Macaca mulatta: one gene and its partners. The protein of the gene in region 1 interacts with the protein of each later gene in a pairwise test. Links are inferred from orthologs where the notes say so. Each region holds a gene or a part of one and is shown in the gene's direction. Other genes may lie near its edges.

Region 1 (3,747 bases):
TGGTTTTGGTCTTATCCGTTATGGCATCCCCTTGTGGCACATGTTAGGTGTTCAAAAAATATTGGTGGAATGGATGTGATTACACTTCATGCCACAGTATATAAATATGATTTTAACTGGACAGGGAACTGCACAAGTTTCCCATATTGATCCTTTTTGCGATCTTAATTATGGTACTCTGAGCTGGGATACTGCCTAGACTGCCTGGGCTACAACAAACTCTAAAGGGCTTTTACTTTCACGCCCACAGTGGTTGAGGGTTCGCGTTCTGTGAATGCTGGAACCTCACGCGAGTAGCTGAGTAGCGAGGATGGTCACTCCCGGATAAATGAATACAGGATTCTCGCGGCTGGGAGCGGTCGCCCGGCGAGGTCGGTCATCCTGCCTGTCCGGTAACACCACGAAACACCTGCCACTGATACCTCCCCACCAGCTCCCGAGGGTTCGCGCCGGCATCCCGAGCCGCACCCCCTGTTCCGCCGCAGCCGGATTCCCTCCAGGGCGGGTTACGCCCCTAGGCGCAAAACAGAACCACTTCGCATCAAGAAGACAAAGTATAACCAGTCACACCAAAAAGAGGCAGCATTATTTAGACAGCCGGCTACTCCCCCAGAGACTCCACCCAGTCCCCTGGGCCCGGCGTTCAGCGCGCCGACGGTGCCCGGCTCCAGGAGCTCCAGCTCCCTCCACGTGTCCTGTCTTCCCAGCAGCCTCCTCTGCCGCCTCTGGAGGAAAATCTCCTGACAACTCGCGGTCTGCGGACTACGACTCCCAGGAGGCGCCGCGCCGCGGCTCTCCCCGCCCCCTTTCCGGGACGCGCAGGCGCCCTGGGCTCCGTCTACCAGCCTGGCTGGCGACGCCTGGATGCGGTTTCTTCCGGGATTTGTAGTTTTTCTGGAGTTACCCGGGCCGTCTGTCAAAGGGACAAAAACTACAAGTCTCGGCTGCCCCAGCGCTGCGAGCTTGGTCACGTGGCGGGGGCCGACCGGGCGTGCGTGCCGCCGTTGATCCGGTGCTGCAGTGAGGAGGTGGTTCTTGCCCGTGTTGTGTGTGTGTGTGAGTGAGAGAGCGAGTGAGTGAGTGAGTGAGTGTGTGTGTGGGGGGACTCGGCTTGTTGTTGTCGGTGACTTCCCCCTCCCCTTCACCCCTTCCCCTCCCCGCCGCCGCTGCAGTGGCCGCTCCCTGGGCTGTAGGAAATGAGCGATAACGATGACATCGAGGTGGAGAGCGACGTGAGTCCTGGGGCTTCTTCCTTCCCGTGCGGGTTGTCAGGCGGGGACAGCGGCCGGGGCTCTCAGCGGGGCGACGGCGGGAGGGGGCCGGGCCGCCGCCGCCTCCTTCCCCTTCCCCTTTCCCTCGGGGCCAGGACTGCCTCCGTCGCGTTCCCGGCTCGCTCCCCTCCGGCTCCTGGCCGGAGCGGCCTCCTGGGACTGGAGGTGGGGGGAAGACACGCGGCTTCTGGGACTCCCACCTTCTCCCGTGGGGGAGGGTGCTGCGGCCTCCCGCTCCCACCTTCCCGGGCTCAGGATCCGGGGGACAAGGATGGGGGGCGCCCGGGATCCCATTGTCCGGATCCAGGGGAAGGGGACGGCGTTCAGGACCTGCCCCTTCGGAACGCGATCCTCTCCTCCCGTGACCCGCGGATCCTGGGGGGCGAGGAAGGGCGGAGAGGGGTTGGGGGTGCCTAGATGCCCGAGCTGGGTCTGCAGGGAGGAGACAGTGCTCGAGACCCCTCTGGCCCGGGTCGGATCCCGGAAGGAGGGGCGGCGCTCGGGACCCCTCTATCCCGCTACCGGATCCCGCCGAGGGTGGAAGGGTGGGGGCAAGGGGTGGGGAGGGAGGAAGGGGTGTCGGGCTGACTCCCCACCCTCCGCTTCCTCTGCCGCCGGCATTTTCTTTCTTATTATTGAATGTTAAGTGTAAAAATAACTTCTATATTTTCTATTTTTTTTTCTCTCCTATTCCAGGAAGAGCAACCGAGGTTTCAATCTGCGGTACGTCTCCTACTCTCCATTTCATTTTTATTTCCGTTCAGTTCTATTCCTTTTTGGGGTCAGAGAGAAAAAGAGATCGTACTGTTACTTTTAATATTGTAGTAAATCACTAATGTTAACCACTAAGGTGAGGTGGGGCCTGGTTCTGGAGGGTGGGGGAGTTGCAAATCCTATCATTCTAGATTCTCAGGTGATAAGTTCAGTAAGAGGAGCTGTATGCAAAGAATTGAATTGTTCTGTAGTTTTCAAATAGGGGATCCAGCTGCCGCTATGTAAGTGGAAATGAGAAATGCAGCATTCTGAAGTCAGTGGTAGTATTATTTCAGGGCAAAGTGGTCAGAAGATTTATTTAGGAACAAGTAGATTTTAAACCATATCTGTATAATTATGTGAAGCTGAAGCCACATGCAATAATCGCCTTTAACCAAGTCATGTGACTGCTCTAGACCTGTAGAATCTAGCACAATGTGGTATTCTAACACAAAAATTGGAAATGTAGAGGAGCCAAACGTTGCATCATCAAAGTGTCACATAAAGTTATTATGGTCTGATTCTCTGTATTTGAAGAAGAGGTATAAAGAAAATTAAAAAATAGCTGAAGAAAAGTGGCATTGCAGGAAGAGCTTTGCTGAAAGGTGATGGATGAGACCATATAATGTTATCAATAATTTCTTAGGGTTTTGATATTAATGTTCCCAGTAGATGGTTCTGTGGATTTAGATATGCACTAATTTCATGTCTTTGGAGTCTGAGACAGTAATATGGGTTTTTCATGAATAGATTAGAGGGGAAAAAAAGAAAACATATAGAATAAATCAGAATCAGAGGGGAAGAGAAATAAGTATATCAGAGTTCTAATATTTGAAATTGGGAACAGTAGGAAGTGTATAGAATGGGGGTAAAAAATTTGAATGCCCATGAGGGCCATAAATAATAAAGAAAGAAGAGGTGAGGACTTGGGTACTGGAGAGCAATGCCTCTCCTAAAAAGTCAGCCACTACTGAATTCCAGTGGTTTGTTATGTAGGAGTGAAGGGTCAGTATTGCCAGATCTTCCTATTTTTTATTTTATTTTATTTTATTTATTTATTTTTGAGATAGAGTCTCGCTCTGTCACCAGGCTGGAGTGCAATGGTGCTGTCTCGGCTCACTGCAACCTCCGCCTCCTGGGTTCAAGCGATTCTTCTGCCTCAGCCTCCTGAGTAGCTGGGACTACAGGCGCACACCCCCACATCCAGCTAATTTTTGTATTTTTAGTAGAGACGGGGTTTCACCTTGTTGGCCAGGCTGGTCTTGATCTCTTGACCTCGTGATCCGCCCACCTCGGCCTCCCAAAGTGCTGGAATTACAGGCGTGAGCCACCGCGCGCCCAGCTGATCTTCCTATTTTTTAAGAAAGATTAGAAATCCAAAGCGTTATGTTATTTTTCTGATTTTTAAAATGATGTGTGGAACAACTGTTTGGGCTTGTTAGAATTTGCAGGATGTCACTTTGATACCTCTGGTATAAGAACCTAATAACCACAGGATAAAGGCAAGCCATCTCAGTTGTACCTGCTCTTCATTAGAGCAAGCAAAGATTATGCAGGTTGTCTAAGCAAATAGGCATTAAGAAAACTTATTTATTGAGAGCTCGTATTTTCTTAAAATCCGGGGATGTAGTTGTTCCAGAAATCTTACAAATTATCCCTGGGTAATAGTCATTAAAGATAATTTATTTTGTTTTATTTATCCTTGAAGTATTCTCATATACTT
Region 2 (3,747 bases), about 57 Mb from region 1:
GAGAAGCTTCAGACTTGTATTAATGGTGCCCGAGGGCCTTGGGGCTTTGATTTTTATTTCCTTATTTATGCAGTCATGGCCTAGAAAGAGAGATGTTAGAGTTCCCAGGACCAGGACAGAGGTGGTGGTGAAATCTCATGGGCGTCTGGAGAAGAAGGTCAGGCCCCTTGCTGACAGGCCTATCCGTGGGGCTACTGCTGCTCTTCAGCTGGGTGACCCTTGTCCAGTCAACCTCTCTCTCAGGTACAGCACTTACCCCTGTGGCCCACCTGCCTATCGTGCTATGGGCTATTCCTGGGAACTGGAACTGATGGGGATGAATGGAAGGGCGCCTGCTCTTCCGGTAGGGGCTGATCTCTTTTACTCTCCAGTAGGGGTGGAGTGGGCTGTGGAAAGATCCCTCCTGCTTATTTCTAGCCCCCCAACCTCTCTCTTCAGCTGTGGTCCACCACCCTCACTTGTGCCAGACCACCCGGGATGTCAATGGCCACCACTACCCTGGTTTCTTTTGCCCTCGTCTCTCTGATTCTCCAGAGGAAGCCTACTGCTGCCACCTGCAGGCTGCAGGGGGCTCCTGCTGCACCCGGGCTGAATTTGAGGCCCTGTACCAAGTCAACCTGTCCGCTCTTCCGCCCCCGCCCATCCTCAGGTGAGATCTCCAACCCCGGAGCCACTGGAACATCGTCAGGGTGTTCCAATATCTGGGGCTCTGTTCCTAAATTATGGGGTGGGAGGCTTGTAACTTACAGACTAGTGAAGGGACAGACCGCAACAGAAAATCATGTAGATCATGATTACAATTACAAGGGAGAAGTTCAGGGGGCTGTGCAAGCGGGTAATAGGGAGCCATACTGAATCTGCCCATGGGTGGCTCTAGGATGAGCTCCTAAATTCGTATGCAAATGTGTGTATGTAAGACTACACTTATTTGGGGATGGAGTCCCGAGCTTTCTCCGGACTCCCAGGGGTTCTGTACTCCCACAGAGCGCAGCAGCCAGAGCGCGGCCAGGGCCGGGATCCAGATACTTTTTTCTCTCCCGCAGGGGCCCAGGACAACTCCTAGTGCTGGGCCTCTACAGCCTACTGGTTGTGACCCTGATGACCGCAGACCTTGTGCACTTCTGCTGCGATCGGGGCCGGGGTCGGGGCTGGAGCCACCGCAGGCCTCCCTCCGGGTCCTCCGCCGTGAACTCCTGCAGGTCTCCGCGGGGACAGCTTAGGCGCGACCGGAGCTTGCCTGCACCTGCGATCCAGAGTCGAGTGCCCCGCCCCTGCCCGGGCGCGCTAACTCTTTAGCCCTGCCCCTCTCTGACTCCACCTCCGACGCAAGAGTGGGGCGGGGCAGCTCCCGGCAGCGTCCGGAGCCAGACTCGTCCCGCACCAGAGACTGCGCCTGCGCGGGCACGGGACAACCTCTCCGCGATGACTGTGAGTGGTCCAGGGATCCCCGAGCCCCGGCCGGCCACCTCCGGGGTGCGTACCCAGTCCCCGCGCCATCACCCCTTCGCACCCGCCCTGACCATCCCAGGCCTCCTTCTCCCCATCCATGAGGCTCGTGCCTATCCCTCCTCTTCTCCAGGGCTCTGCCCCGAACCCCCTCCGACGTTTCCGCCCCCTTTCTCTCTACAGGCCAGCTCAGTGGAGCAGCTGCGGAAAGAGGGCAACGAGCTGTTCAAATGTGGAGACTACGAGGGCGCCCTGGGGGCCTACACTCAGGCCCTGGGTCTGGACGCGACGCCCCAGGACCAGGCCATTCTGCACCGGAACCGGGCCGCCTGCCACCTCAAGCTGGTGAGGGAGCCTGGCGCTCTTCCCCTTGCCTGCCGGGCCCCGGTTCGCCCATCTCAGCTGATGCTTGGGCCCCAGCTGGGAATTCAAGCTCCCAGGCCATCCCCGCTTGCCAGATGTCTTTTGCACCTCAGCGTGAAGGGGGATCGGGTGACCTTGGACAGCGAGAGTACCCCTGCTGCCTGGTTAGTGCCCCGAAAGGGAGATGACCATTCTTTCAGGCTCCTGTCTTTCTCTTACAGGAAGATTACGACAAAGCAGAAACAGAGGCATCCAAAGGTAGGGGAATGGTGGACCCTCGTGTGGAGCTGTAGGGCTTCTGTGGTGGGCAAGGACTCTGGGACCGCTGCACCATCACATTCTCCTCCTTTGGCCCCGGAGACACATCTGCCTTCTTTCTTTCCCACTGCCTCGGGCCTTTCCTTTTCTGCAGCTACCCTCACCTTTTCTGAGGCTGAAGCACCGAGCCCCACATTCGTCCCCCTACCTTCTGGCCTTTCCTCGAGATCTTTCCCTACTGCTCTTGCCTGGAGATGGTGGCCTCATGGGTGCTGACAGCGCTCCTGTTTGTGCTCAGCCATTGAAAAGGATGGTGGGGATGTCAAAGCACTCTACCGGCGGAGCCAAGCCCTAGAGAAGCTGGGCCGCCTCGACCAGGCTGTCCTTGACCTGCAGAGATGTGTGAGCTTGGAGCCCAAGAACAAAGTTTTCCAGGAGGCCTTGCGGAACATCGGGGGCCAGATTCAGGAGAAGGTATGTGAGTGACCCAGAGAGGTGGTGAAGGGATCTGGGCCAGGGGTGCAGACACAGTTCTCCAGACAAGAGATACTGATGGCAAGTGAACATATAGAATTCTGGTTAACCTTGCCTGTGGCCAGGGAAAAGCAAATTAAGATGACAGCGTGTTACTGTTGATTTGGAGGTCTGTTTGGCAGACATTTAAAAGTTTGTATACTTTTCAAGAAGGAGTGAGGCAGACACATCAGTGGTGAGGCTGGTACAGCTCTTTTGGAGAGTACTTTAGCATATCAAATTTGAAATGAGCGTATCTTTTGATCCCATATGTTTACTTCTTGCTGTTTCTCTCACAGAAACCTTGCCCACATGCACAAGTAGACATGTGTATGTTTATTTCAGCCTTTTTTGTAGTAAAAGCTTGGAACTTGCCTCAATGCCCAGCCATAGAGGAATGGCTGAATAAATTGGGTAATGTCCTTACTAGAGACTCTTACATAGTTACTGAGAATGGGTAGATACACACATATTGAAATGGAAAGCTCTGGGACACTTGTTGAATAAACAAAGCAAAATAGGCAGGGCATGCTGTCTCATGCCTGTAATCCCAGTGCTTTGGGAGGCCAAGACGGGACGATCACTTGAGGCTAGGAGTTTGACACCAGCCTGGGCAGCATAGTGAGACCCTGTTGCTACCAAAACTTAAAAAGTTAGCTGGGTGTGTTGGCACACCCTTGTAGTCCCAGCTACTTGTGAGGCTGAGGCAGGAGAATCCTTTGAGCCCTGGATTTTGCAGTTACAGTGAGCTATGATTGTGTCACTGCACTCCAGCCTGGATGACAGAGTGAGGCCCTGTCTCTTTTGAAAAAGAAAAGAAGAAAAATATATGATAACACATATAGTATTATATCATTTATGTTAATGATCCCCTGCATAGCAAAATAATGCTATATTTTTTCTGTGGGTACACTTGGGTATATAAATACAAAGGAAAATATTTAATTTAATTTATTTATGTATTTATTTATTTATTTTTTGAAACAGAGTCTTGCTGTGTTGCCCAGGCTGGAGTGCAGTGGCGTGATCTCAGCTCACTGCAACCTCTGCCTCCCAGGTTCAAGCAATTCTCCTGCCTCAGCCCCCCAAGTAGCTGGGACTGGGACTACAGGGGCGTGCCACCACGCCCAGCTAAGTTTTTGTACTTTTAATAGAGACAAGGTTTCA
Region 3 (3,747 bases), about 120 Mb from region 1:
GATTCCCACTCAAGACTGACTCAGAAAATGGTAATACTAGTATGGCACTTTTCTCTGAGTTGTTATAAGGATTATACATAATGAATATTAGAATGTTTTATAAACTTCAAATATAACATCATATGCTTACAATTTAATGCTCTTTATTACACATGATCATCTAATACCCTTTCTTTTGATTTTCTAGTCAGGGAATAATTTTCTGATAATTAGGCTTATGAAGTACCTTGAAATTAGAAAAGGGTGCCACAAACTATATTTTGGCTTAATAACCACATTATAAATGGATACATTTAATTTTTAATCTATAAATAAGAACTCTTGAGCTTGACCATCGCTAGTCAAATTCTTCAAGCTTAATCATCTCTTTAAGAATTGATGAAATCGTTCTGAAATCGGCAAAGCTGAAGAATGGAGTTCAAAGCAGAAAAGGTGTGAATTGTTTTAAGTGGGGGTTTCATGGGAGTAAAATATTAGGTTTTGGCCTGAAGGGCAGTTTGTGAATATGTTACAAAGTTAATTGGTTCTGATGCCTGACCACTTTTTCTGAGTTAGGAGACGGTGTTTTTTTTTTTCTCGTTTCCAATATACCGTATCTCGTATGAGGTGGAACCAGTAACTGTGATACAGGCATGTCCCTGCCTCCTTTAAAACGCCGCATGCTCTTATCACCCTGCTTTCCCCAACAGTAGCAGTGAGTTTAGCAAGAAAGGGCTCATCTTCTATCCCAAGGGAAATTCCAAGTGCCATTTCCACTCTCATGTGGGGCTCCTGGTAAGTTGCATTTAAATTAGCATTCTTTTTCATTGGCCAGGAAAGGCTGGCAGTTCATTTGTAGGCAAATACCCTTGCTGTTTTTTTTTTTTTTTTTGAATCTTTACAAAGTCACTCAGCAGGCACACACTTAACGCTTGCTCCGTGGAGAAAGGTTAAACGGTTTCCCCAAGACCACACAGATCAAACAAGTCGGGGAGGAGGGGCTCAAAGTGCCTGGTATACCTCGCCACACTCCCATAATTACCCAAACCGTCTCATTCCAAGCCCAAGGATCGGGCTTTCAAAGGGGACACGAAAGGAACGCCCGGGAGGTGAGCGCCAGGAGATCGGGAGAGGTGCCTTTCCCGGCATGCTCTGCAGCACACCGAGGGGCGCCAGGCGTATCCCGGCGTGCATCGGGGAGCGCCCAAGGGCGATGGTTCCCGGCTCCTGGAGAGGCGCGCGAAGTTAAGCCGGTAGGTGCGAGCTTCCTTAGCTTTGAACCTCTGGTTTCTCGTTTCCTCTTTATGAGTTTAATTCCATAATGGCAGAAAAGGATGGCCCTCTAACTACCCTCCCTCTCCGCGTGCGAACGACTCGGCGCCGCTTCGAGCTCGGTGCCAGGTGATTAGCGGGTAGGGGCGGGCCGGCGACCAGCACGTGACCCGAACTGGCAGCCAATGACTAGCCGGGTGGTCCAGCAGCGCGAGGATTCCGGGACCCGCGAGCGGAACGGCGCGTGGGTCGGTTGCTGTCGGCCCTGGCAGGTACGCGCAGGCGCTTTGCTTGCCACGCGCTACGCCCGTCCCCACGCGCCTGGTGGCGTGTTCTTGGCGCGAGGTGTTAACAGTCTGGGTGTTTTTGTGAGTTGGGGGGAAGGAGAAGGTGGCGGGGAGGGGGCTGAGGCGTCACGTGGACGCCACAGCCAATCTCAGGCCGAGGCGCACCCACAGCTTTCCCCGGCGCCCCGGGGTGCGACGTGTTCATTGAGGTTCGACCGGGCCCTGACGGCCTGAGCGCTCTTTCGAAGCGCGTGTGCGGCCCGTAAATTCTGGCCGCGGCTTTTCGCGGCGTCCTGCTCCGCGGCAAGCACAGACGACAAGTTCTCAGCAAAATGGCTGCTGGAAAGAGTCGCCAAGCAGGGGGAGCGCTGGGGCCGCGTGAAGGTCACATGACGAGGTTGGCAGCGCGTGCTGCTGGCGCGGGGCAGGGGGAGGGTGGGGGGGGCGTGGCGGGTCACGTGCCTTCGACTGCGCCGGCCTGTGGTTTTCCAGCGTCTTTGCTGCGGTCGGATTGCCTGTTTTTACTCCTCCCACCTCGAAGCGTGGCAAGCGTCGGTGAGAAGCTGTGTGGTGTACTGGGATGAGCCGAGATCTGGGAATTCGGAGGCCTGGGGTCCAGGCCTTTGGCTGGTTTCATCTTTCCACTCTCGTCTTCCATTTCTCATTCAGCTCAGTAGAGGAGATCACCTCTTAAGGCCCCTCATACGGCCTCTGACTTCCTCACTTCAATTTCAATGCAGAAAAAAAAAAATTTAACAAATTCTTAACAATTATAATGAGACAACCGCCCCCCCCCCAAAAAAAAAAAACCCACAGCCTCTCCCCTCTCAATCTTTACAGTGATGTGGGAAACCTGGTAGAGGTAATTTGTTATAATATTCTGGGCATGTCTCTCCATCTTTATCATTCCCATTTATACTTTATAGGGGCCCACGACCTCATTTGAAAAATACTGTCTTTTAGACATCTAATCCCTATGTATTTTCTGGGAGGAAATCAAAAGGTAACTACTATTGTCATAACTGTGGAGATGGGGAAATAGTAGTATTTAAAGGGAAATGCTGATCACCCATAACGCTGACTAGAAGGGCCTAGAAGTCTTCGTTTCCACTTGATGGGCTAGCTTTGTAAAATTTTAGAGACCTGGTAGCCTGTGGCATTTTTCTTGGTCTCTGCTCCCAGTTCCAGCTCTTTATTTCACCAAAGAAGGGTCAAGGCGTTGGTGAAGAAAAGTATAAATTGTTTTCCACACCACTGCTTATGTTTTATGATACCTTTTGATTTATCTTAAAAAGAGCCTTTGAAGATTGTGCGAACACATCTGGAAAACATTTATTGAGCAATCATAATAGCTGTCACTTTTGAGTAATTATAGTTAACATCTTTCTGGCTTGGTGTTTTAAATACTTTGTACTGTATTTAATTTATTTAGTTCTCATAACAAACCTGCGAGGTAAGTACTGTTATTTCCATTTTACCACTGAGGAAAATAGCAACAGAGAGATATGGCTGGCAGTTTTACATGATTCCAACCAGATTTCCTTTTGAAAACTTGACAAAATGGTTTTAAAATTCATTTGAAAAAGTAAACCTAGAAAGTAAGAAACTTTTTGGAAGAGAAGAATGGGAAAAGGACTTGTACTAGAGAATATACAAATAAAGCTTTGATAATCAAAATGTAAGTAGCAACCCTGGAACACAAGAGTGGTGAAACAGAATAATCTAGAAATATATAAGATTATTTAGTGTTACAAAGGTGGTATTTCATATCAGTAGGGAAGGGGTTCCAAAATTTATGTTGGAACAATCAACTGTTTGGAGAAAGAATGGGATTTTTACCTTAAAATTTAAATAAAATTGCCGGGCGTGGTGGTTCACGCTTGTAATCCCAGCACTTTGGAAGGCTGAGGCGGGCGGATCACCTGAGGTCGGGAGTTCCAGACCAGCCTGACCAACATGGAGAAACCCCGTCTCGACTAAAAATACAAAATTAGCCAGGCATGGTGGCGCATGCCTGTAATCATAGCTACTTGGGATGCTTGAACCCGGGAGGTGGAGGTTGCAGTGACCAGAGATTGCGCCATTGCACTCCAGCCTGGGCAACAAGAGTGAAACTCTGTCTCCAAAAAAAAAAAAAAAAAAACTAGGTGAATTTTATATATATATGTGTGTATGTGTGTGTGTGTGTGTATATATATATATATATTTT

Evidence for each region.
Region 2: the proteins of MAX (region 1) and UNC45A interact in binary tests that used the Homo sapiens proteins (3 or more experiments, as listed by UniProt). The two-hybrid records come from large-scale screens. The link is inferred for Macaca mulatta from reciprocal best matches to the Homo sapiens genes MAX and UNC45A.
Region 3: the proteins of MAX (region 1) and MGA interact in binary tests that used the Homo sapiens proteins (3 or more experiments, as listed by UniProt). The link is inferred for Macaca mulatta from reciprocal best matches to the Homo sapiens genes MAX and MGA.

The regions. Positions count from the first base shown.
Region 1 is NC_133412.1:138,199,754-138,203,500, reverse strand, and holds the start of MAX (protein max), read left to right. Parts: upstream 1-1,024; 5' UTR 1,025-1,196; coding exon 1,197-1,232; coding exon of another isoform or gene 1,233-1,436; intron 1,437-1,967; coding exon of another isoform or gene 1,968-1,994; intron 1,995-3,747. UniProt on the Homo sapiens protein: Transcription regulator. Forms a sequence-specific DNA-binding protein complex with MYC or MAD which recognizes the core sequence 5'-CAC[GA]TG-3'. The MYC:MAX complex is a transcriptional activator, whereas the MAD:MAX complex is a repressor.
Region 2 is NC_133412.1:80,845,928-80,849,674, forward strand, and holds the start of UNC45A (protein unc-45 homolog A), read left to right. Parts: upstream 1-1,382; 5' UTR 1,383-1,422; coding exon 1,423-1,473; intron 1,474-1,629; coding exon 1,630-1,791; intron 1,792-2,009; coding exon of another isoform or gene 2,010-2,030; coding exon 2,031-2,067; intron 2,068-2,365; coding exon 2,366-2,541; intron 2,542-3,747.
Region 3 is NC_133412.1:18,989,156-18,992,902, forward strand, and holds the start of MGA (MAX gene-associated protein), read left to right. Parts: upstream 1-1,157; 5' UTR 1,158-1,232; exon of another isoform or gene 1,233-1,523; intron 1,524-3,747. UniProt on the Homo sapiens protein: Functions as a dual-specificity transcription factor, regulating the expression of both MAX-network and T-box family target genes. Functions as a repressor or an activator.